Struthio camelus: one gene and its partners. The protein of the gene in region 2 interacts with the protein of the main gene of each other region in a pairwise test. Links are inferred from orthologs where the notes say so. Each region holds a gene or a part of one and is shown on either strand. Other genes may lie near its edges.

Evidence for each region.
Region 1: the proteins of KEAP1 (region 2) and PRKAG1 interact in binary tests that used the Homo sapiens proteins (3 or more experiments, as listed by UniProt). The two-hybrid records come from large-scale screens. The link is inferred for Struthio camelus from reciprocal best matches to the Homo sapiens genes KEAP1 and PRKAG1.
Region 3: the proteins of KEAP1 (region 2) and CCNB1IP1 interact in binary tests that used the Homo sapiens proteins (3 or more experiments, as listed by UniProt). The two-hybrid records come from large-scale screens. The link is inferred for Struthio camelus from reciprocal best matches to the Homo sapiens genes KEAP1 and CCNB1IP1.

The regions. Positions count from the first base shown.
Region 1 is NC_090969.1:971,152-979,179, reverse strand, and holds the start of PRKAG1 (5'-AMP-activated protein kinase subunit gamma-1), read right to left. Parts: upstream 3,071-8,028; 5' UTR 2,998-3,070; coding exon 2,992-2,997; intron 2,872-2,991; coding exon 2,817-2,871; intron 1,710-2,816; coding exon 1,606-1,709; intron 1,446-1,605; coding exon 1,364-1,445; intron 1,290-1,363; coding exon 1,231-1,289; intron 1,107-1,230; coding exon 1,061-1,106; intron 946-1,060; coding exon 891-945; intron 601-890; coding exon 474-600; intron 210-473; exon of another isoform or gene 85-209; coding exon 1-84. Other genes in the region: KMT2D (histone-lysine N-methyltransferase 2D), read right to left, coding at 6,658-6,750, 6,890-6,998, 7,175-7,248, 7,328-7,613, 7,709-7,839, 7,997-8,028. UniProt on the Homo sapiens protein: AMP/ATP-binding subunit of AMP-activated protein kinase (AMPK), an energy sensor protein kinase that plays a key role in regulating cellular energy metabolism.
Region 2 is NC_090972.1:4,828,283-4,835,702, forward strand, and holds the start of KEAP1 (kelch-like ECH-associated protein 1), read left to right. Parts: upstream 1-4,346; 5' UTR 4,347-4,410; intron 4,411-6,430; 5' UTR 6,431-6,529; coding exon 6,530-7,072; intron 7,073-7,420. Other genes in the region: S1PR5 (sphingosine 1-phosphate receptor 5), read left to right, coding at 1-755. UniProt on the Homo sapiens protein: Substrate-specific adapter of a BCR (BTB-CUL3-RBX1) E3 ubiquitin ligase complex that regulates the response to oxidative stress by targeting NFE2L2/NRF2 for ubiquitination.
Region 3 is NC_090970.1:770,283-777,231, forward strand, and holds the start of CCNB1IP1 (E3 ubiquitin-protein ligase CCNB1IP1), read right to left. Parts: upstream 3,071-6,949; 5' UTR 2,984-3,070; coding exon 2,837-2,983; intron 2,170-2,836; coding exon 1,858-2,169; intron 1,778-1,857; coding exon 1,474-1,777; intron 134-1,473; coding exon 1-133. Other genes in the region: TEP1 (telomerase protein component 1), read right to left, coding at 4,766-4,960, 5,041-5,148, 5,680-5,765, 6,038-6,143, 6,662-6,949. UniProt on the Homo sapiens protein: Ubiquitin E3 ligase that acts as a limiting factor for crossing-over during meiosis: required during zygonema to limit the colocalization of RNF212 with MutS-gamma-associated recombination sites and thereby establish early differentiation of crossover and non-crossover sites.

The sequences.
Region 1 (8,028 bases), on a different chromosome or scaffold from region 2:
CACCACCGCGATGTTGCTGTAGGTGCCAATCTGTAGCTCCTCCAAAGTTTTGGCCATAAACTGAGGCTTTGGGACCTCCGTGATCTGCAGGGGACGGGGAGGGGGACAGTGCTGACGCTGGCTCGGCCTGGCACTCCCCGGGCCCCACGGCGCCGCCGGCTCCAGCTGCCCCGGGCTGACGCGGCTCGAGGGAGGCCAGGGGCCCGGTCCTAGGAGTGAAAGTAAAGAGCGATGGGTGCGGAGCGGGGCCTGGCAGGACCCCAGGGCGGAGGAGTCCTAGCGTTGGCACAGGTGGGGCAGCGGAGACGGGCGGCACGGTCCCACAGGCTCAGCCCCCCAGCACCCACGGCAGGGCGACGCACAAAGCGCCGAGGCTGTGCCCACCCCAGCACCCTGGAGACCGCTCTACCTGGCACCGCCCAGGGCTGGCTCGTCTCCTGCTACCGCAGCACGCAGGGGGAGACGGGACTTACAAAGAGCTTGAGGAACTTGAGGATGCGTTTGTGGGTGAGAATGTAGAGCGTGTTGCCCGAGTCAGGGTCGATGACTGGCAAGCGGTGGATCTTATTCCGGATCAGGGATGAGACAGCGTCGAAGAGACTGTGGGACAAAAGGAGGGGATAGAGAGGAATCAGTGCTTGCCAGGGCCCCATCCTTGCACCACGGTGGTGCTGGACAGGTCTGTGCCAGGGAGGATGCAGGGAAGATAAGGGCAGGATGGGGAGACTGCTGCGCCCCGGTGCGAGAGGAGCCCAAGCTGGGCAGGGAGAGAGCAGGGGCCCAGGGGAAGCTCCTAGGCAGCAGCAGCCACAAAACTCTTTTTGCCAAGCAGCATGGGGGCACTGACGCTGCCAGTCATGCTCCCTCCCGCCCAGCAGGACTGCGGGTACCTGGCGTTGGGGGAAATGCAGACCAGCGGCTTGAAGGAGTCTTGTAAGTAGACCTCTGCAGGGAGAGGAGACACTGAGGACGCGAGCAGCACTGTGGGCATGCAGGGTGCAGAGCCGGGGGGCTCCGGGCCAGTCTCGGGGGGTGGGGGGCTGACGATGGTCCCTCTTACCTCTCCACGTCTCTATTTTATGCTCCTCCAGCTCGTAGATCTGCACCTAGGCACGTGTAGAAAAACAGGAGTTAATTGCAGCCATCGCAGGCACGCACGAGGTGGACAGAGACCGGAGCAGAGCCGGGCAGCGAGCCCTATGGGACCCCCACCCCTGCCCCTCTCCTCACCATCGGGGACTTGTAGTAGCGGTGCAGGATGTTGATGAAGTCGGTGATGGTCAGCATCCCTGCGGGGGGGAGCGGGGTGAGCAGCATGGCCCTGCCCGCAGCCCACCTACCCCACGCTGCCCCGCTCGCTCACCCACAAAGCTTTGCTTCTTGCTGTCCCACAGCGGGGCAGCCCGCACGCCATTGGTGACCAGCGCGAAGAAAGCCTTCTTCACCTGCAGCCAGGGATGCAGAAGGACATCAGGAGAGGGACGAGGCGCCCGGCGGGGGAGTGGGGTCCTCGGGACCACCCAGGTCCCTCCACCTGGTGAAGGTGGCAAAGTCTTTGGGGCGGGAGGACGACAGCCCGAGGTCCACCCCGTGGCCCTGGCCCACCTGCAGGGAGGTGTCGAAGACGACCAGCTTGGAGCTGGTGGGGATCAGGTCATAGCAGCAGTGGGACTTCATGAAACAGCTGTAGACGCCGCTGTGGGACTCCTCTGGGGGACAGGTGGCATGAGGGGTCATAGTGTCCCCAATACATGTCATCGGAGAGGAGACGCCCCAAACCCTAAGAGCCCTCAACCTACGGGACACCCCCCAGTCCCTGGGACGCCCAGCCGAGGGCCCCAGGACACCCCAAACCTCTGGACAACCCCAACCATAGGACACCCCAAACCACAATCCTAGGACACCACAAACCCAGGACACCTCAAAGCCTGCTCCAAAGCCTAGACACATCCTGATCTAAGGGGCACCTCCCCAAGCCATTGGACACCCCAAGCCATTGGATATCCACCCTGGGTCCCTGGGACACCCCAAACTGTGGGATACCCCAAACCCCAGGACCTGGGACACCCCATGGACCTGGGACACTCCAAACCATGGGACATCTCCAACTAGGGTCCTAGGACATCCCAAACCCAGGGACGCCCCAACCCCCGGGACCTGGAATACCCCAAACCATGGGACATCTCCAACTTGGGTCCTAGGACATCCCAACCCCCAAGACACCCCAATCCAGGGCCCCAGGACACTCCAGCCCCCCAGGACACCCCAACTCCCAGGACACCCCAACTCAGGACCTCAGGACACCCCAGCCCCCAGGACACCCCAACTCCCAGGACACCCCAACTCAGGACCCCAGGACACCCCAGCCCCCAGGACGCCCCAACTACCAGGACACCCCAACCCCCGGGACACCCCAACTCCCAGGACACCCCAACTCAGGACCCCAGGACACTCCCACCCCCGGGACACCCCAGCCCCCAGGACACCCCAACTACCAGGACACCCCAACCCCCGGGACACCCCAACTCCCAGGACACCCCAACTCAGGACCCCAGGACACCCCAGCCCCCAGGACACCCCCACCCCGGGACACCCCAACCCCCAGGACACCCCAACTCCCAGGACACCCCAACTCCGGACCCCAGGACACCCCCACCCCCGGGACACCCCAGCCCCCAGGACACCCCAACTCCCAGGACACCCCAACTCCGGACCCCAGGACACCCCCACCCCCGGGACACCCCAAACCCGGGTCCCCGGGACGCCCCCAGCCCGGAGAGGCCCCCCCCCCGGCCGCGGGACGCCCCCGGCCTCACCCTCCGGCGCCGCCGGGCCCTGCTCCGCCGGGCTCTCCGCGGCCGGACCGGGACCCTGCGGACAGACACGGGGCAGGTCGGGCCGGAGCGCAGCGGAGCGCGGCCCCGATACCCCCCCCACCTCCACATCCCGCCCCCACCCCCCCGACCCGGTGCCCGGTACGGCGGCCCCCACCTCCATGGCCCCCGGCCCGCCCCGCCGCCGCCGCCGCCCCACTTCCGCCCGGCGCCAGCCCGCCACTTCCGCCAGCACCGGCCACGTGACCGGAAGCGCGCGGCCCGCGTGACCCTCGACCGCGCGGCGACCTTTCACCTCCCGCCGGGTCACCGCCGGGGTTGGGGGGGGGGGAGAACCGGGGGGTCCTGGGGGGGCTATGGGACCCGGGGGAGGGTCCTGCGGGCTTCTAGGGAGGCCACAGAGGGGCCATGGGGGGGTTCTGGGGTCTAGGGAGGGTCCTGGAGGGCTCCTAAGGGGTCCCAGGGGAGCCGGGGGGGGTCTGGGGGCTCTAGGGGGGGTCACAAGGGAGTTATGGGGGGTCTAGGGGGATCCTGGAGGGCAAAGGGGGTCTTGGGGTCCTGGAGGGCTCCTAAGGGGTCCCAGGGGAGCCAGGGGGGGTCTGGGGGGGGCTCTAGGGGGTCACAGGGGAGCCAGGGGGAGTCTAGGGGGATCCTGGGGGGCAAAGGGGTCTTGGGGTCTTGGAGGGCTCCTAAGGGGTCCCAGGGGAGCCGGGAGGGGTCTGGGGGGGCTCTAGGGGGTCACAGGGGAGCCATGGGGGGTCGAGGGGGATCCTGGGGGGCCACGGAGGGCATGGGGGGGTCTTGGGGTCCTAGGGAGCTCCTACGGGGCCATAGGGGAGCCAAGGGGGGTCTGGGGGGATCCTGAGGGGCCACGGGGGGGTTTGGGGTCTAGGGAGGGTCCTGGGGAGCTCCTAGGGAACCACAGGGGAGCCAGGGGGGTCTGGAGGGGTTCTGGGGGGCCCCAGGGGGGGCAAGGGGGGTCCTGGAGGGCTCCTAGGGGGTCATGGGGAGCCAGGGGGGCTCTAGGGGGTCACAGGGGAGCCATGGGGGGTCTAGGGGGATCCTGGGAGGCAAGGGGGGGCAAAGGGAGTCTTGGGGTCCTAGGGGGCTCCTACGGGGCCACAGGGGAGCCAAGGGGGGTCAGGAGCGTCCTGGGGGGGGGCCACAGGGGAGCCATGGGGGGTCCTGGAATCCAGGAGGGTCCTGAGGGGCTCCTAGGGGGCCACAGGGGGGTTCTGGGGTCCCCCAGGGGTGTCTGGGGGGGCTATGGGGTCTGGGGGGACACCCAGGTCTGTCTAGGGGAGCTCCTTGGGGGCAACAGGGTCCTGGAGGAGGTCTGGGAGGTGCAGGGGAGGCATCTAGGGTGTCTCAGGGGGCTCCTAGGGGGCCACGGGGCTGTGGAAGAGGCATAGGGGGGCACCTAGAGGTGTCTGGGGGGGCTATAGGGGCACCCAAGGGTGCTCTGGGGCCTGAGGGGGCATGGGGAGCACCTAGGGTCCCTTAGGGGGATGAGGGGGACAATACAGGGAGCCTCAGCCTGGGGGGACACATAAGGGTCCCCCAGACTTGGGGGGGACGCTCAGGGGTCCCCAGCAGGACTTCAGTCCCTGCCCCCAGCCCCAGGGGACGGTACCCGCCCCCCCAAGGCTGCGTCACCCCGTGCCAAGGGGGTCTGGGGTGGCCCTGGGTGCCGTGGAGCTGGGGCAGCTCCTCGGGTAACGCAGTGGGGCCCTTTGGTTTAAGCTTTATTAAACAAAAAAAACCAAAAACCCAGAACACTGAACAGTTACTGGGGACTGTCAAAGGGAAAACGTCCGCGAGCCGGGGTGCTGCAGGCAGCCGTCCCAGCCCAGCTCGCCACCGACACCGCCAGCCGCGAGGTGCGGCCCCCTCCCCAGCCCGAGGGCTTGGAGCCGCTGTCTCCCTTTACACCTTCCCAGCGGGGAGAGACGCGAGCGAGCGGAGAGTCAGACTGGCTTCTCACGCGCTTTATTTTAAAATAACATCCAGTGGTTTCGGTATTGGTAAAAACGGGTTTTCTACACGCCCCCGGGCTATTTACAGCTCTGAAAGTTAAAGTTTTTCGTATATTTTTTTTTTTAAAACTTTCTCATCCCCCACCCCCAAATTTTTTTTTTTTTTTTAAACATTTTTACCTTAAACCTTTTTGCAGCTTTGACGAGTTTGCGGAAGCAGCTTTCAAGAACGCCCCGGCCCTGGGGTGCCCGGACCCGCCGACGCCGGGCAAACCCGCCGGCCCCACCTCGACGCTCGCCTCAGCTCCTCCCGCCAGCCCCGGCGGCGACGGGAAACGGGCGCGAGGGTCCCCCCCCGCGCCGTGCGTTTGTGCGTTAAAGAGATCCCGGCTCCCCCCCAACCCCGGAGCCGTGTGGCCACCCCCCCCTCGCCCCGTCGGCGTCCCCGCAGGGCCGCCGCGGCCGGCATGGTGGGGGGGACCCGGTGCGTAATGCCCACTCGCTGCTTCGCTCTCCGAGGCCGCCCCTGCCTGGCAGGAGGCTCCCAGCCACCCCTCGGAGATTGGGTTTTAAAAATGCCACAGCCCCCCCCCTTGCCCCCGCACCCCGAATCTCAGCCCAGCAGAGCACAAAGAGCCCCCCTCCCCCCCCAGTCTAGTATATACAATATAAGGTATAAATAGATAAATAACCTCCCCCCCCCACCCCGTGCCGACATCGGACGCGCGCAGCCTCCGGCAGCCCGGAGCAGCGGGCGCTGGAGACGAGTGGGGCGGCCCCCGTGCGGTGAGGCCCTGGCCCCACGCGGCTGTGCCTGCCCCCCGGCTCGGGGTCTGGGGGGGCTGGGGAGCGGGTCCCATGTGCCCCCTGGCCCCCCCCTCCCCGAACCTTGGCACGTCGCGCAGCCGGGGCCTCCCTGGGCTGAGCCGCTGCCCGGGGCAGGGGACGAGGGCAAGGGGTTCCCCCGCGTCCCCTTCCCTGGGGACCCCCGCCAGGGGCTTTCTGCAGCCACATCCACGGGAGGGGACAGGGGACGAGAGATGCTGCGTCCCCCGGGGCAGCCCGAGGAAGAGGGAAAGGGCCCTTGGGGACGGCTCCCGCGAGAGGCTCTGCCGCGGCCCAGGGCCGGGTGGGTGCAGGGCTCACATTTAAAAACAACAACAACAACAACAACAACAAAAAATCTAACACTTAAAATGAGGTAGGTTTGGGTGCAGAAGCTCCTTGTGTCTTGTCGGGGGCCCTTGCCGCACGCGCCTCCTCCCAGCTCCGCTCCGCAGGCCGCGCCGCCTCCACGCGCTCCCGGGGCTCTCGTCGACACGCACAAACAAAAAGAGATCAAAGGAACCGAGCGAGCTCTGGCCGCCGCGCGGGCGCGGACGGGGCAGAGCCCGGATTGTCGAGCTCAAGGAGTCTGTGTTACCTTGGTAATTAGCGAGCAAATATTATTAGTTTTCGTTTCTAAAAATCCAGGCCGGCTCCGAACTCGCCCCCCGGCTCTGGCACCGGCTCCGCTGGGGCCGCTCTGCTCCCCCCGGGGCTCCCCCGCCAAGGAGGCGGGTTGGGGGGGGGGTCACGCAGGGCCCCCCCCCCCTCCTCGCAGGACGAAGCAAAGAAAACCCTGAGTTGCCAGTTCGTCCGTCCCGCTCAGGCAGGGCCGAGCGGCTTCGCGGCGGCCGCCCTCCCCGCCGGAGCCTCCGCGCCCCGGCCGCAGCCCTGCCCGGGCACCTCCCGCGGCCCCCGCGGCGCGGCGGAGGGCCGGGAGGGCCCCGGGGAGCCGGTGTCTCTCGGCGAGGTCTCCGAGGCGGGCGCTGCTGCCCCTTCCCCCCCCCAGCCCCTTTTCCCAGTTAGTTCATCCACTTTCGGCAGTTCCAGGCTCCGCAGTGGCAGGGGATCTTGTGCTGATCGTCCTCAAAGTCGAACTGGTAGTCGTAGGTGAGCTGGGGGGGAGCGGGGAGTCACGCACGGCACGGCGCCCGCCCCGCTGCCGCGCAGCCCCCCCACACACACCCCCCGCTGCCCTGAGCCTCCCCCGGAGCCGGTGTCCGCCCCCTCCACTGCCCCGTGCCCCGGCCTGACCTCCTCCCCCTTGGGGATGCGCCGGCTGGAGATGATGATGATCTTGTCCTCCTTGTCGAAGGTCACGACTTCGGCCACGCAGTTCGGGGCGCACGAGTGGTTGATGTACCTGGCGGGGGACAGAGCGTCAGGGCCGAGGCCGGCGCGACCCGGCAAGACGGCGGGGCAGGACACCTGGGTCGCAGCTCCAGCTCAAAGGTGAGGTGGGACAGACAGAGCGAAACGCAGGCGAACAGTCACCCTGCTCCCTCCCAGGGTGCCACCGCGGCTTGGCCCTGCTCTCACCTGGCTGGCCCCCCCGTCAGCGTGGCGTCAATGACGTGCTCGTTGTTGATGCGGAACATGTAGATCCCGCGGTTCTGGGGAGCAAGAGAGAGTCACCAGGTGCCCCAAGCCCCTTGCGTGCCCCCTCACCCTGCCCAAACCCCCGTGCCCCACCTGCTCCTCGTAGATCTTCTCCCGCCGGTTGGCCACCTCGTTACGGATGATGGTGCCGATGTACTCGATGACCATGGTGTGCTTCTCGATGTCCTTGGCCGCGTAGAGCCCCAGGCCCTGGATGCGGGACCGCGCCAGGTACACATTGTTCTTCCACTCCGTCTTCAGGCGCCGGTACTGGGAGGACTTGGAGTGCACGAACTGCTTGCTGTAGGGCGTGTTGGTCTCACCCGTGAATGTGCTCTGGTAGGCCTTGGACATGCTTGTGCTGTTCAGGGTGTGGGGCCTGCCGAGGGGGCCGGGAGGGCGTCAGAGCTGCGGCGGGGCAGAGCATGGGCTCACCTGCCCCCCGATGCCGGCTCTCCCCGGCCCCCAGCTCACCGTTTGTAGTGGGTGAGGATCTTGGGCTCAGAGCGGGCGCAGCCAGTGGGGTTGATCATCAGCGGCAGCTCCATGAGCGGGTGGCGCCCGTAGCGGAACAGGTAGTTCTGGCAGCTCTCGACGCCGGGCAGCTGCCGCGGAGGGAGCGGAGGGGCTGTGGGTCGAGCGGCAGCACCGCGGGCCACCCCGGCCCCAGAGCCGCCAGCCCCTTCCAAAGGGGGCTGGCCCATGGCACGTGCGCCACACATCTGGAGACCCCCCGCACCCAGGCGGGGCCCCGGTACCTACCGACTCGGCGATGCGCAGCACCGCGTGCACCG
Region 2 (7,420 bases):
GCGGCGTCTTCGCCACGCTGGCGGCCTCGGTGCTCAGCCTGCTGGCCATCGCCGTCGAGCGCCACGTGGCCATGGCCCGCGCGAAGCTCCGCCAGGGCGGCAAGAAGGGGCGGCTGCTGGGGCTGGTGGCGGCCAGCTGGGCGGCCTCGGGGCTGCTGGCCGCGCTGCCCGCCCTGGGCTGGAACTGCCTCGGCGACCTGCCCCGCTGCTCCACCGTCCTGCCCCTCTTCTCCAAGCGCTACGTCTCCTTCTGCGTGGCCGTCTGCCTGGCCGTCCTGCTCTGCGTCGCCGTGCTCTACGCCCGCGTCTACCGCGGCGTGCGGGCGAGCAGCCGGCGCCTGGGCGGCCCGCGCGGCTCCCGCAAGCACCTGGCGCTGCTGAGGACGGTCGCGGCCGTGGTGGGCACCTTCGTCGCCTGCTGGCTGCCCCTCTTCCTCCTGCTGCTGCTGGACGCCTGCTGCTGCCCGCCGGCCTGCGCCGTCCTCTACCAGGCCGACTACTTCCTGGGCTTGGCCATGCTCAACTCGCTGCTCAACCCCGTCGTCTACACGCTCGGCAGCCGCCAGCTGGGCCGGGCCGTGGGGCGGCTGCTGGGCTGCGGCCGGGGGGGCGCCCGGCCCGGCCCCCCCGGCCCCTTCGGCCTCCCCATCCTGGAGGGCAGCGCCAGCCGGTCGGAGCGCTCGTCCCAGCGCCCCGCCGCCGCCGGCCTCCGCCGCGGCCCCCCCGCGCCCGGCCCCCCCGCCGCCCGCCCCTGAGCACCCCCCCCTGCCTGAGCACCCCCCCCCCCGGTTTTATAGCGCCTTTGTAATAAAAAGCCTCCTCGGAGCCCCCCACCCCGGCCTCGGCCCTGGCTCTGCTGCCCCCAGGGGCTGCCAAGGGTGGGGGGGGCTGGGGCAGTGGGAGGGCCCTGGCTAGGGGGGCAGTGGGGGGTCTGGGGGGGCACAGCTGAGCAGGGGCAGTGGGGGGACCCCGGCTGGGGGGGCAGTGGGGGGTCTGGGGGGGCACAGCTGAGCAGGGGCAGTGGGGGACCCCGGCTGGGGGCAGTGGGGGGGGGCTGGGGGGCACACAGCCGAGTAGGGGAAGCAGGGGTGTTTGGGGGGGGGGCTCAGCCAAGCGGGAGTAGCGGGGGGGGGCCAGGGGTCCTCGGTGTCGTGGTGATGCCCCCCCCTCCGCCCCCCCCAGCTGGGCACCACAGCCCGGCTGCCGGGGGGGGTGCTGGGGGGGCTGGGGGCAGGCGGTGCGGGGCGGGTGGGTGTGAGCAGCACCCGCGGGTGCCGCCTGGGGCACCGGGTGCGACTGGCGGCTCTGCCCAGGCCCTGGCACCTGGGGGGGGGCCCTGGCTGCAGGGGTGGGCAGCGGGGGGGGGGGGCACGGCGAGGCATGCGGGGCTGCAGCGGAGCTGCACATCGGGGGCAAGGAGCCGCGCACGGCGCTGCACGGCGCAGAGCTGTACGGTGCTGCACGGTGCTGCACGGCGCAGAGCTGCACGGCCAGACGCACGGTGCAGAGCTGCACGGCGCTGCACGGCGCAGAGCTGCACGGCCAGCCGCACGGCGCTGCACGGCGCAGAGGTGCATGGCCAGACACACGGCGCTGCACGGTGCAGAGCTGTACGGTGCTGCACGGTGCTGCACGGTGCTGCACGGCCGGACGCATGGGGCTGCACGGCGCAGAGGTGCATGGCCAGACGCACGGCGCTGCACGGTGCAGAGCTGCACGGCCAGACGCACGGCCAGACGCACGGTGCAGAGCTGCACAGCGCTGCACGGCGCAGAGCTGCACGGCCAGACGCACGGCGCTGCACGGTGCAGAGCTGTACGGTGCTGCACGGTGCTGCACGGCCAGACGCACGGCGCTGCACGGCGCAGAGCTGCACGGTGCTGCACGGTGCTGCACGGCCAGACGCACGGCGCTGCACGGCGCAGAGGTGCATGGCCAGACGCACGGCGCTGCACGGTGCAGAGCTGTACGGTGCTGCACGGTGCTGCACGGCCAGACGCACGGCGCTGCACGGCGCAGAGGTGCATGGCCAGACGCACGGCGCTGCACGGTGCAGAGCTGTACGGTGCTGCACGGTGCTGCACGGCCAGACGCACGGCGCTGCACGGCGCAGAGGTGCATGGCCAGACGCACGGCGCTGCACGGTGCAGAGCTGTACGGTGCTGCACGGTGCTGCATGGCCAGACGCACGGCGCTGCACGGCGCAGAGCTGCATGGCCAGACGCACGGCGCTGTACGGCGCAGAGCTGCACGGCGCTGCACGGCCAGACGCACGGCGCAGAGCTGCACAGCGTTGCACGGTGCTGCACTGCATGCCGCAGTGCACGGTGCTGCACATCACAGTGCTGCACACCCAGGCGCACGTCACGTCCCTGCACACCCAGGTGCATGGTGTTGCACACCCAGGGGCGGTGCTGCACATCACGTCCCCGCACACCCAGGCGCACGGTGTTGCACACCCAGGCGCGCAGTGCTGCATGTCATGTCCCTGCACACCCAGGCGCGCGGTGTTGCACACCCAGGCGCACATCACGTCCCCGCACACCCAGGCGCACGGTGCTGCACACCCAGGCGCAGGTCACATCCCCGCACACCCAGGCGCACGGTGTTGCACACCCAGGCGCGCGGTGCTTCACGTCACGTTCCCCACACACCCAGGCGCGCAGTGCTGCACACCCAGGTGCACAGTGTTGCACGTCACGTCCCTGCACACCCAGGCGCGCGGTGCTGCACGTCACGTCCCCACACACCCAGGCGCGCGGTGCTGCACACCCAGGCGCACGTCACGTCCCCGCACACCCAGGCGCGCGGTGCTGCACGTCACGTCCCCGCACACCCAGGCGCGCGGTGCTGCACACCCAGGCGCACGTCACGTCCCTGCACACCCAGGCATGCGGTGCTGCACGTCACGTCCCCGCACACCCAGGCGCGCGGTGCTGCACACCCAGGCGCACGTCACGTCCCTGCACACCCAGGCATGCGGTGCTGCACGTCACGTCCCCACACACCCAGGCGCGCGGTGCTGCACACCCAGGCGCACGTCACGTCCCCGCACACCCAGGCATGCGGTGCTGCACGTCACGTCCCCACACACCCAGGCGCGCGGTGCTGCACGTCACGTCCCCGCACACCCAGGCGCGCAGTGCTGCACACCCAGGTGCGCAGTGTTGCACGTCACGTCCCCGCACACCCAGGCGCGCAGTGCTGCACACCCAGGCGCGCAGTGTTGCACGTCACGTCCCCGCACACCCAGGCGCGCAGTGCTGCACACCCAGGTGCGCAGTGTTGCACGTCACGTCCCCGCACACCCAGGCGCGCAGTGCTGCACACCCAGGCGCGCAGTGTTGCACGTCACGTCCCCGCACACCCAGGCGCGCGGTGCTGCACACCCAGGCGCACGTCACGTCCCTGCACACCCAGGCACGCGGTGCTGCACACCCAGGCGCACGTCACGTCCCCGCACACCCAGGCGCGCAGTGCTGCACACCCAGGCACGCGGCCCTGCATGTGGCAGCGCTGCCAGCTGGTGCCGGAGCAAAGTCCTCTCCTGCCCCACGGCGCTGCCGGGAAGGGAGGGAGCGGCGGGACGTCACCGTCACCGGGGCAGGACGTCACCGGGGCTGCCGGGTCACCAGGTCAGGGACGCCGCCGTGACCCCGGGGCCACCGTGACGGGGGGGGGGGGGGTATCACCGTGCTGGGGGAGCGGGTGACAGAAGGGTCACGTGGCGTCTCCACGCCGGGCCGGTCTCCATTCCCGGTGGTGGCAGCTACGGGGGCCCGTTCCCCCCCCCCCCCACGGGTCCCCCAATGTCCCCTCCACCCCGTCCCACCGGGGTGTCCCGGGCATCGCCCAGCCCGGTGCCCCCCGGCCCCGGGCTCACCGGCTCCCCCCGGTGCCGCCCGGTGTCCCCCCCTCCCCAACCCGGCCAGGGTCCCCTGCGCCTCCGCTCCACCGGGCCCCCCCCCGGCCCCCCCCCGGGAAACCCCCCGCGGTGCCTCCCCTCCCCGCCCCGGCCCCGGCCGGAAGCGCCGCTTCCGCCGCGCCGAACGTTGGCACCGCCGCGTTCCATCCGGCGGAGGGGCGGGGTCAGGCAGCTAGGGGGCGGGGCCAGGCGGGCCGCGGGCGTGTCCAGGCTGTTCGGGGGCGGGGCCAGGCAGCTCGGGGGCGTGTTCAGGCTGCTCGGGGGCGTGCCCAGGCGGGCCGGGGGGCGTGCCCAGGCGGGCCGGGGGGCGTGTCCAGGCGGGCCGGGGGGCGTGTCCGTCGCGGACTCTTATTGTGACGGGGGCGCCGCGCGGTGCTTAGTCACGGCCCCCCCCGCCCCCCCCCCCCCCCCGAGCGGGCCGCGCCGCCGCCGCCGCCGCCGCCAGGAGCCGCACCGGGGGCCGCGCCGCGCCGCGCCATGGCTGGGTGAGACCCCCGGCCCCCGCGAAAGGGACCCCCCCCCCCGACCCGTAGCCCCCCCCCCCAGTCCTGTGCCCCTCCCCCCCCCGCCAAGGCCGCTTTGCCCGGTATCGAGACCCCCCCCTCCGGCTCCGCCCCACCGGGATCCTCCCCCCGGGGCAGGCCCGGCCTCTCCCCCCCCCCGCCACTCCCCGGGACCCCCGGGTTGGCGGCGGCTTGTTCGGGGCGGGGGGAAAGACCGGCTCCCCCCTCCCCGCTGGCTCCGGGCGGCGCGGTGGTTTGTTTACACCGGGGGGGGGGAATCGAGCTGTGCCCCCCCGTGTAACCCCGTGGGAAAGCGGGGAACCCCCCCCAGCTGTGCCCCCCCCCGAGCTGTGCCCCCCCGTGTAACCCCGTGGGGAGGGCAGGGATGCCCCCCGAGCTGTGCCCCCCCCGAGCTGTGCCCCCCCGTGTAATCCCGTGGGGAGGGCAGGGATGCCCCCCGAGCTGTGCCCCCCCCGAGCTGTGCCCCCCCGTGTAACCCCGTGGGAAAGCGGGGAACCCCCCCCCAGCTGTGCCCCCCCCCGAGCTGTGCCCCCCCGTGTAACCCCGTGGGAGAGCGGAGAACCCCCCCGAGCTGTGCCCCCCCGTGTAACCCCGTGGGGGGGGCAGGGATGCCCCCCGAGCTGTGCCCCTCCGTGTATCCTCGTGGGGGGGCAGGGATCCCTCCCCCGAGCTGTCCCCCCCCCTTTAACCCCGTGGGGGTCGGGGATCCCCCCCGTGTAACCCCGTGGGGGGGCGGGGATCCTCCCCGAGCTGTGCCCCCCCGTGTAACCGCATGGGGGGGTGGGAATCCCCCCCCCAAGCTGTCCCCCCGTGTAACCCCGTGGGGGTCGGGGATCCCCCCCGTGTAACCCCGTGGGGGGGTGGGGATCCCCCCCCGAGCTGTCCCCACCCGTGTAACCGCATGGGGGGGTGGGAATCCCCCCCCCCCCCCCAAGCTGTCCCCCCGTGTAACCCCGTGGGGGTCGGGGATCCCCCCCGTGTAACCCCGTGGGGGGGTGGGGATCCCCCCCGAGCTGTCCCCCCCCCGTGTAACCCCGTGGGGGGGCGGGGATCCCCCCCGAGCTGTGCCCCCCTGTGTAACCGTGTGGGGGGGCAGGGATTCCCCCCCCGAGCTGTGCCCCCCCACGTAGCCTCATGAGGGGGGTTCCCCCCTTGAGCTGTGCCCCTCTGTGTAACCTTGGGTGGGGGTGGAGATCCCCCCCCCCAAATTGTGTTCCCCTCCCCGTGTTGCCTTGCGGGGGGGAACACCCCGCTCTGTGCCCAGGCCGTTCCCCCCCCCCAGGTTGTCCCCCCCCCCGGGGAAGGTTGTGCCCCCCCCCCAGGGGGGACCTGGCTCCCTGCAGCCCCCCCTTGGGAGGCCCTGTGCCCCCCCCAGCCTGTCTCCCATCACCCCGGACCCCCCCCCCAGGCCCCTTCAGGCACCCAGCCTGGCCTGCTGCCCCAACGTGGGGGGCTCAATGGGGTGTCACCAGAGCAGGGGAGGGGGGACACGCCCCCAGGTGGGAGGGGGAGGGCAGGACTCCTGGGCCCCCTTGCCCGCTCTGTGCCTCAGTTTCCCCGTGGCTGGGAGGCAGCGGGAGCCGGGGGGGGAGGTCCGGGGGACCGGGGCTCTGCTGAGGTCCCCGGGGCGAGAGGGGGGGGCGGTTTGGGGTGCTGAGCGTGGCCCTTCGCCTCCCAAGGCGCTCCTCGGGGGGCTGGGGGCGCAGCCGGGGCGGCGTTGGCGCCGCAGACGAACCTTTAGTTTTTTTTTTTGCTGACCTCATGCCGCGTAGGGGAAAACAACCCCCTTTCTGCTGACCTCATGCCTGGTTCTGGCCTCGGTTGCTGCAACCAGCGTCGCTAGTTCCTCCCGGTCGGCCCCCCGGGCGCTGCCGGTTGTTTGCGGTCAGCCAGACCCCCCGGATAAGGGGGGGGGGTCACCGCCGCCGTGTTGGGGGGCGCCTGCCCTGCTGAGCCCCCTGCCCGTCTCCCTTCCCTGCAGGTGTGAAGGAGCTGCGGTGCCGCGGGGCCCCGCGGGGCGCTCGCCGCCCTCCTAGCCCGCCCCGTCCCCGCGGCCCCCGGGGCCTGCCATGCGCCCGTGATGTACGCGCCGGAGTGCAAGGCGGAGGTGACGCCGTCCCACCACGGGAACCGCTCCTTCAGCTACACGCTGGAGGAGCACACCAAGCAGGCCTTCGGCATCATGAACCAGCTGCGCCTGAGCCGGCAGCTCTGCGACGTGACGCTGCGCGTGCGCTACCAGGACGGGCCGCCCGCCGACTTCCAGGCCCACAAGGTCGTGCTGGCCTCGTCCAGCCCCGTCTTCAAGGCCATGTTCACCACGGGGCTGCGGGAGCAGGGCATGGAGGTGGTGCCCATCGAGGGCATCCACCCGCGGGTGATGGAGCGCCTCATCGAGTTCGCCTACACGGCCTCCATCTCGGTGGGGGAGAAGTGCGTGCTGCACGTCATGAACGGGGCCGTCATGTACCAGATCGACAGCGTCGTCCGCGCCTGCTGTGACTTCCTCATCCAGCAGCTCGACCCCAGCAACGCCATCGGCATCGCCAACTTCGCCGAGCAGATCGGCTGCGCTGAGCTGCACCAGCGGGCTCGCGAGTACATCTACATGCACTTCGGCGAGGTGAGGGCGGTCAGCGGCGCGGGGGTCCCCAGGCCCCCGCTCGGCAGCCGGCGACCTGGGGATGGGTTTGTGCGCCCCGTGGGGCTCCGTGACCCCCCCCGCCAGCGCAGGAGCAGGTAGCGGGGGGGGGTCGGGGGCGACGGCGAGGATGTGGTGGCCGAGTCGCCCTCCGCGTGGCTGGAGGGGGACGCAGGGGTGAGTCGGGGGGGCGGCCCGGCTGCAGCGTGGTTTGCAGTAGGGACGGACGAGCTCCGGCGCAGGGGGGGGAAGAGCTGATCCGTGCGGCCCCCTCCTGGCCCCGCAGCCCGGGAGCCGCTCCCCGCTGGCAGGGCAGAGGCGCCGAGCTGG
Region 3 (6,949 bases), on a different chromosome or scaffold from region 2:
GGGGGCGGGGCCGGCTCGCCCGCTCCCCCCCCCGGGGAGCCGAAGGGGAAGAAGCTGCCGCCCGCCGCGGGGGGAGGGGAGGCCCCGAAGAGGGGCCCGAAGGCGCCCGGCGGCGTCGCCACGGCAACCGCACCTGCGGGGGGGGGGGGAAGGGGACGTCACCGGCCGCCGTCTTGCTCACCGCCATGGCGGCCGCCATAGCGCCCCAGCCCCACGGAGGCCGCCATCTTGCCCACCGCCATGGCGGCCGCCATCTTGCCCACCGCCATGGCGGCCGCCATAGCGCCCCTTCCCTGTAGTCGCCATCTTGCCCATCCCCATGGCGGCCGCCATCGTACCCCCTCCCAATGGTGGCCGCCATTTTGCCCACTGCAGCCATCTTTCCCATTGTGGCCATCTTGCCCACCCTCATGGAGACCACCATCTTGCCCACTGCCATGGCAGCCACCATTGTACCCCCTCTCAATGGTGGCTGCCATCTTGCCCACCGCCGGAGCAGCTGCCATCTTAACCCCCCACAGCAGTGATCATCTTACCCACCATTGCCATCCTGCCTACAGCCCATGGCGGCCACCATCTTACCCCTCCCTCATGGCGGCCGCCATCTTGCCCACTGCCATGGCAGCCGCCATCTTACCTAGCGTGGCCATCTAACCCCCCCCCCACCATGGTGGCCACTGTCTTACCCACGGCAGCCATCTTACCCACCACCATGGCAGCCGCCATCGCCCCCACCACAACCAGATTGCACCGTGCCCCATGGCAGCCACCATCTTCCCCACCACCATGGGGGCCGCCATCTTACCCAGCGCCATGGCAGCTGCCATCTTACCTACTATGCCCATCTAAGCCTCTCCCCCATGGGGGCCACCATCTTACTCGCCACCATGGGGGCCGCCATCTTACCCACCACCACGGTGGCTGCCATCTTGCCTACCACGCCCATATAACACCCCTCCATGGCAGCCACCATCTTACCCAACACCATGGCAGCCACCATCTTACCACCATAGCGGTCGCCATCTTACCCACCACCACGGTGGCCGCCATCTTGCCTACCACGCCCATAAAACACCCCTCCATGGCAGCCACCATCTTACCCAACACCATGGCGGCCACCATCTTACTCACCACCATAGCGGTCGCCATCTTACCCACCACCATGGTGGCTGCCATCTTGCCTACCACGCCCATATAACACCCCTCCATGGCAGCCACCATCTTACCCACCGCCACGGCGGCCGCCGCCTCCCCCACCACAACCATATCGCGCCGTTCCCCACGGCGGCAGCCATCTTGCCCCTTCCCCACAGCGGCGGCCATCTTGTCCCTTCCCCGTGGCGCCGATCACCTTCCCCGCCACAGCCGCCTCCCCCTCCCCGTGGCGGCCATGTCGCCCTCCCCACGGCAGCCATCTTCCCCCGCCGCCGCGGCCATCCTTCCGCCTTGCCCGCAGCAGCGGCGGCGCCTTACCCGTCAGCGAGGCCGAGGCGGGCAAGTCGCGGCCGGCGGCGGCCATGTTGCGCAGGCGCAGCCCGTCGTAGAGGCCCTGCAGCTTCTGGTACTGGCGGTTGCGCTCCATGAGGCGCTCGGAGAGCGCCGTGAACTTGCCCTTGTACTCCTCCAGCACCCGCTTCAGCGAGGCCACCTCGCTCTTGACGGCCGCCACCTCCGCCTCCTTGCCCTGCAGGCGCTGGGCGCAGGCCCGCTCCGCCTGCCGCAGCCGGCCCTCGGCCTGGCTGAAGGCGTACTCCTGGTAGAGGCGCTCCTGGTGCACCTGGAGCCAGAGGGCGGCGGGCAGCGGAGGCGGGCGAGGGGGCGGCCGCCGCCGCGGGCAGGGGGGAGGCGGCCGCTCACCTGGTAGGTCCAGAAGGCCAACGCGCGCGAGCTGATGTCCAGCACCACCTCGGGCCGGAGGCCGGCCAACACCATGGCTTTGTACTCCTCGGAGGGGCTCAGCTCGGTGCGCACGATGTCCAGCTTGCCCGAGAGGGCGCTGCCGCAAGCCGGGCACACGGCCGGCGAGCGGCTGAACTCCCCGCTGCCGTGCGGGTCGCAGAAGATGTGCGAGCAGGCCGTCACCCAGGCGTAACCCGCCAGCTTCGCCCGGCACTTGCGGTAGTTGCACAGCAGCAGGTCCTCGCACACCGCCATGGGCCGGGCGGCGGGCTGCAAAGGCGGCGCGGGGTGCTGCCGGCCGCCGCCGGACTTACGCCAAGCGGGGAAGCCCGGCGCCACGCGGGTTTTCCCGCCGTCCCCCCTACCCCGCCACTGCTTGACCGACGCGCCGGGCGAGCGGATCTCCCCTCCGCCCCGAGGCGGCCGCGCTACGGGGGAAGAGGGACCGATGGAGAGGGGCTCGAGGCGGCTGCTGTGGGGAGAGATGGGCAGGGAAAGTGCAACCAATGAGGGGCTCAAAGCAGCTGCCGAGGGGTGGGACGGGCAGGGGAGGTGCGAGCGATGGGGGGCTACAGGCGGCCGCCGTGGGGCGAGACAGGCAGGGAAAGCCTGAGCAATGGGGGGGCTCAAGGCGGCCGCCGTGGGCAAGACAGGCAAGGAAACTGTGAGTGATGGGGGGTTCAAGGTGGCTGCCGTGGGGCTCAAAGGAGTTGCCATGGGGCAAGACGGGAAGGGAAAGCGTGAGGGTGGCTCATGATGGGGTGGCTACAGGTGGTCACCATGGGGTGGGACGGACAGGGAAAGCGTGAGCGATGGGGAGGCTCAAGGTGGCCGCCGTGGGGCTCCGAACAGCTACCCCGGGCTGACACGGGCAGGGAAAGCGCGACCGCCATGGGGCTCCCCACAGCCACCGCGGGGCTCGAGGCGGCCACCCTACCTGGGCGCAGAGGGAGAAGCACCCAAGGCGGCGGGAGGGACGGCGGAGGCGCTGCCGCCTCCTCGCCGCCCTTCGCGGGAGGGAAGGGAGGCGCGCTTCTCCCCTCACGGCAAAAAGGGCGGGAAAGCGAGGGCCGCTACTGCGCATGCGCCGCCCGCGCCGCTTCCCGCCCTCAGGGCGCGCCCCGCCCCTAGAGACCGCTGCCGGCCACCGCGCATGCGCCGCTTCCCGCCCTCAGGGCGCTCCCCGCCCCCTCAAGGGCCGGTCCCACCCACGGCGCATGCGCCGCTTGCCGCCCTCAGGGCGCGCCCCGCCCCCTCAAGGGTCGGTCCCTCCCACGGCGCATGCGCCGCTTGCCGCCCTCAGGGCGCGCCCCGCCTCTAGAAACCGCTGCTGGCCACCGCGCATGCGCTGCTTGCCGCCCTCAGGGCGCTCCCCGCCCCCTCAAGGGTCGGTCCCTCCCACGGCGCATGCGCAGCTTGCCGCCCTCAGGGCGCGCCCCGCATCTAGAAACCGCTGCTGGCCACCGCGCATGCGCCGCTTGCCGCCCTCAGGACGCGCCCCGCCCCTAAAGACCGCTGCCACCCAGGGCGCATGCGCCGCTTGCCGCCCTCAGGGCGCGCCCCGCCCCTAAAGACCGCTGCCACCCACGGCGCATGCGCTGCTTGCCGCCCTCAGGGCGCGCCCCGCCCCTTAAGCGCCACTTCCTGCCCTCCGCGCATGCGCCGCCCCCCCCGCCTCCGGGCAACCCCAGCCCTCAACGGCCTTTCCCGCCCACTGCGCATGCGCCGCCCCCAACGCCTTTTCCCGCCCCAACCATGAGGCGAAGCGGGACGAACCATCATGGAGGCGGGGGAGGGGGGGGGGAGGGGAAGAGAAGCAGGAGGAAAAGCGGCTGAAAGGCGACGAAAAAAACTCGTTAAAAAACAACAACAAAAAAAAGAAAATAGAGGATTTTATTAAAACACACAAGGCGCGGGGCTTTCCCGCCCTCCCCGCGGCCGCTCGGGAAGGTGGTTCCGCCTCGGAGCACAACGCCGCCGCCCCCGCCGCACCTGAGGAGAAGGCAGGAAGAAGAGAGAGCGATGGCGGCGGTAGCGAACGGCCCTCGCCCGCCGCCGCCGTCTAATTGTGCGACCCCGCAAAATTCGCCGCCGGCCACCCGCGAGCGGCCGCACCGGGCCGCGGCCGGGAGAGTGAAGGAAAAAAGCCGCCGTTGTGCTCTGCGACGCCGCCAAACCCCGCCGCCCACGGCTCGCGGCGGCGGGGGGAACGCGGGTCGCCTCGGTGCTGTGGGAAAGGGGGGGGGGGGGGCAGCGTTACCTGCGCCGCAGCTCCCGCAGCTCCTTCCCCGCCGCCGCCGCGGCGCCGAATGAACGGCAGGCGGCCGAGCCCGCGTGACGTCACCCGCCCCGCGCCCGCTCATTGGGCCGCCGCCCGCCTCGCTCGCTCCTCCCCACCGCGGGGGGGCTGCCGGGGTGGGAGGGACGAGCCGCGCGACGGGCAGCGCGGCGGACCAATCAGCGCGGAGGTGGGCGGGGTTATGCAAACAGACCCGCAGGCCGGCTGGGCGGCGGGGGGCGGGGCGGGGGCGGGGCTTGCCGGCAGCGGAGCGCTGCGATTGGCGGGGGCGGGCGGAGGGGGGCGGGGCCAAGCGCTACCGTCGCAACGGGGGGGCCTTAAGGGGCCAAAACCTCCTGTTAGGGGGTGGTGGGCGGGGCTTGCTGGTGGGCGGGGCCCCTGGGCACCCCCTCCAATCAACACACAGAGACGGCAGGGGAGGGGCAACTTTATTCCACTGGGGGAGGGGTGCAGAAGAGGGGGCGTGGCCTGCCGCAGGGGGGAGCGACCACCCCTCGGCGGCAGGCCCCGCCCCTTAGCGCAGGCCACGCCCCCCCGCAGGGCAGGCAGCAGCTGGCTTGCAGAGCGCTAGGAGGGGCCGGGGGGCGGGGCCTCCGCCGTCCGGGGGGCGTGGCCAGCAGAAGGGGCGTGGCCAGCAGAAGGGGGCGTGGCCCAGCGGAGGAAGTAGACGCGGCCGCCGGCGTCGCCCAGGGCCAGGCCGGGTTCGGGGCCGGGCCGGACCTCGGCGCAGGTCACGGGGGCGGCGCAGGCGAAGTGGGCCAGCTGCCGGGGGGGGCGGGGCGTCAGCGGGCCACGCCCACCGCTAGCCCCGCCCCTCCTGTAACCCCCCCCCCCGCACTCACCGGAGAGCCCCCGGAAGGGCGCCAGAGCCGGGCCCGGCCGTCGGCCCCGGCCGTCACCAGCGTCGTCCCGTCCAGGGCGGCCACGGCCGTGACCGCGCCGCCGTGCGCCTGCCGCCCGGACGCCTGGGTCCCTCGCCCGGACGCCTGGGCCCCTCCCCGGACACCTGGGCCCCTCCCCGGACACCTGGGCCCCTCCCCCGACACCTGGGCCCCTCCCCGGACACCTGGGCGCCCCCCCGAACGCCTGGGCCCCTTCCCGGACACCTGGGCCCCTCATCCCGAACACCTGGGCCCCTTCCCAGACACCTGGGCCCCTCCCCGGACGCCTGGGCCCCTTCCCCGGACGCCTGGGCCCCGACCCGGACGCCTGGGCCCCTTCCCCGGACGCCTGGGCCCCTCATCCCGGACGCCTGGGCCCCTCCCCGGACACCTGGGCCCCTCATCCCGGACACCCGGGCCCCTTCCTCGGACACCTGGGCGCCCCCCCGAACGCCGGGGCCCCTCCCCGGACGCCTGGGCCCCTTCCCGAACACCTGGGCCCCTTCCCAGACACCTGGGCCCCTCCCCGGACGCCTGGGCCCCTTCCCCGGACGCCTGGGCCCCTTCCCCGGACGCCTGGGCCCCTCCGTGGTCACCCACCTTGCGGCAGCTCCAGGCCCTGCTGTCGCCCCGGCCCCGGGTCGCCCACAAGGTGCCATCGGAGCGGCCCAGGAAGAGCCCCTCACCTGGGCGGCGGCGTCAGGCCTCCCCGAAACCACCCCGGACCCCCCCCAAACCAGCCCCAGCGCCCCAAAATCCCCCCTTTTCACCCCAAAACCAGCCCCAGTGCCCCAAAATGCCCTTTTCACCCCAAAACCAGCCCCCAGAAACCCAAAATCTCCCTTTTTCACCCCAAAAACAGCCCCTAGAACCCCCAAAATCCCCCCTTTTCACCCCAAACGCAGCCCCCAGACCCGGCCGCCCCCAAAACCACCATTTTTCACCCCAAACCGCTCACCAGGCAGGAAGCAGCCGCCGTTGAACCACTGCGAGGGGCCGAGGGGCTGCGGGGGGGCGGCGGGGGCCCCGGCGTCCTGGGCCTGCCAGCCCCGCCCCCCCGGCACCTGCCACCGGCCGGCACGGCACGTCACGCGGGGCCTCCCAGACACCTGGGCCCTTCCCCGGACACCTGGGCCCCTGCCCCGGACACCTGGGCCCCTCCCCGGACACCTGGGCCCCTTCCCCGGACACCTGGGCCCCTTCCCGGACGCCTGGGCCCCTTCCCTGGACACCTGGGCCCTTCCCCGGACACCTGGGCCCCCTTCCTGGACGCCTGGGTCCCTTCCCCGGACACCTGGGCCCCTTCCCGGACACCTGGGCCCCTTCCCCGGACGCCTGGGCCCCTGCCCCGGACGCCTGGGTCCCTCCTGGACGCCTGGGTCCCCTTCCCGGACGCCTGGGCCCCTCCCCTCCCCACCCACCCGGACGCCTGGGCCCCTCCCAGGATACTTGGGCCCTTCTCCCAGACACCTGGGCCCCTCCCCGGACGCCTGGGCCCCCCACCCGGACTCCTGCCCCCCCCCGGACTCCTGGGCCCCTTCTCCCGGACGCCTGGGCCCCCCCCGGACGCCAGGGCCCTCACCAGGCGCCAGAGGCGGGGCTGGGCAGCCCCCGCCCACAGCAGGAAGGAGCCGTCGGGCAGCGCCTGGGCGTCCAGGGGGCTCCCGGGCAGGCGGAAAGCGGGCGGCTGGCGCGGGGCCCCGGCGTCCGGGCCCGTCGGCTCCTCGGGGGGGGCCCAGGCGTCCGGGCCCGTCGGCTCCTCGGGGGGGGCCCCGGCGTCCGGGCTCGTCGGCTCCTCGGGGGGGGCCCAGGCGTCCGGGCTCGTCGGCTCCTCGGGGGGGGCCCAGGCGTCCGGCAGCGCCTCTTCGTC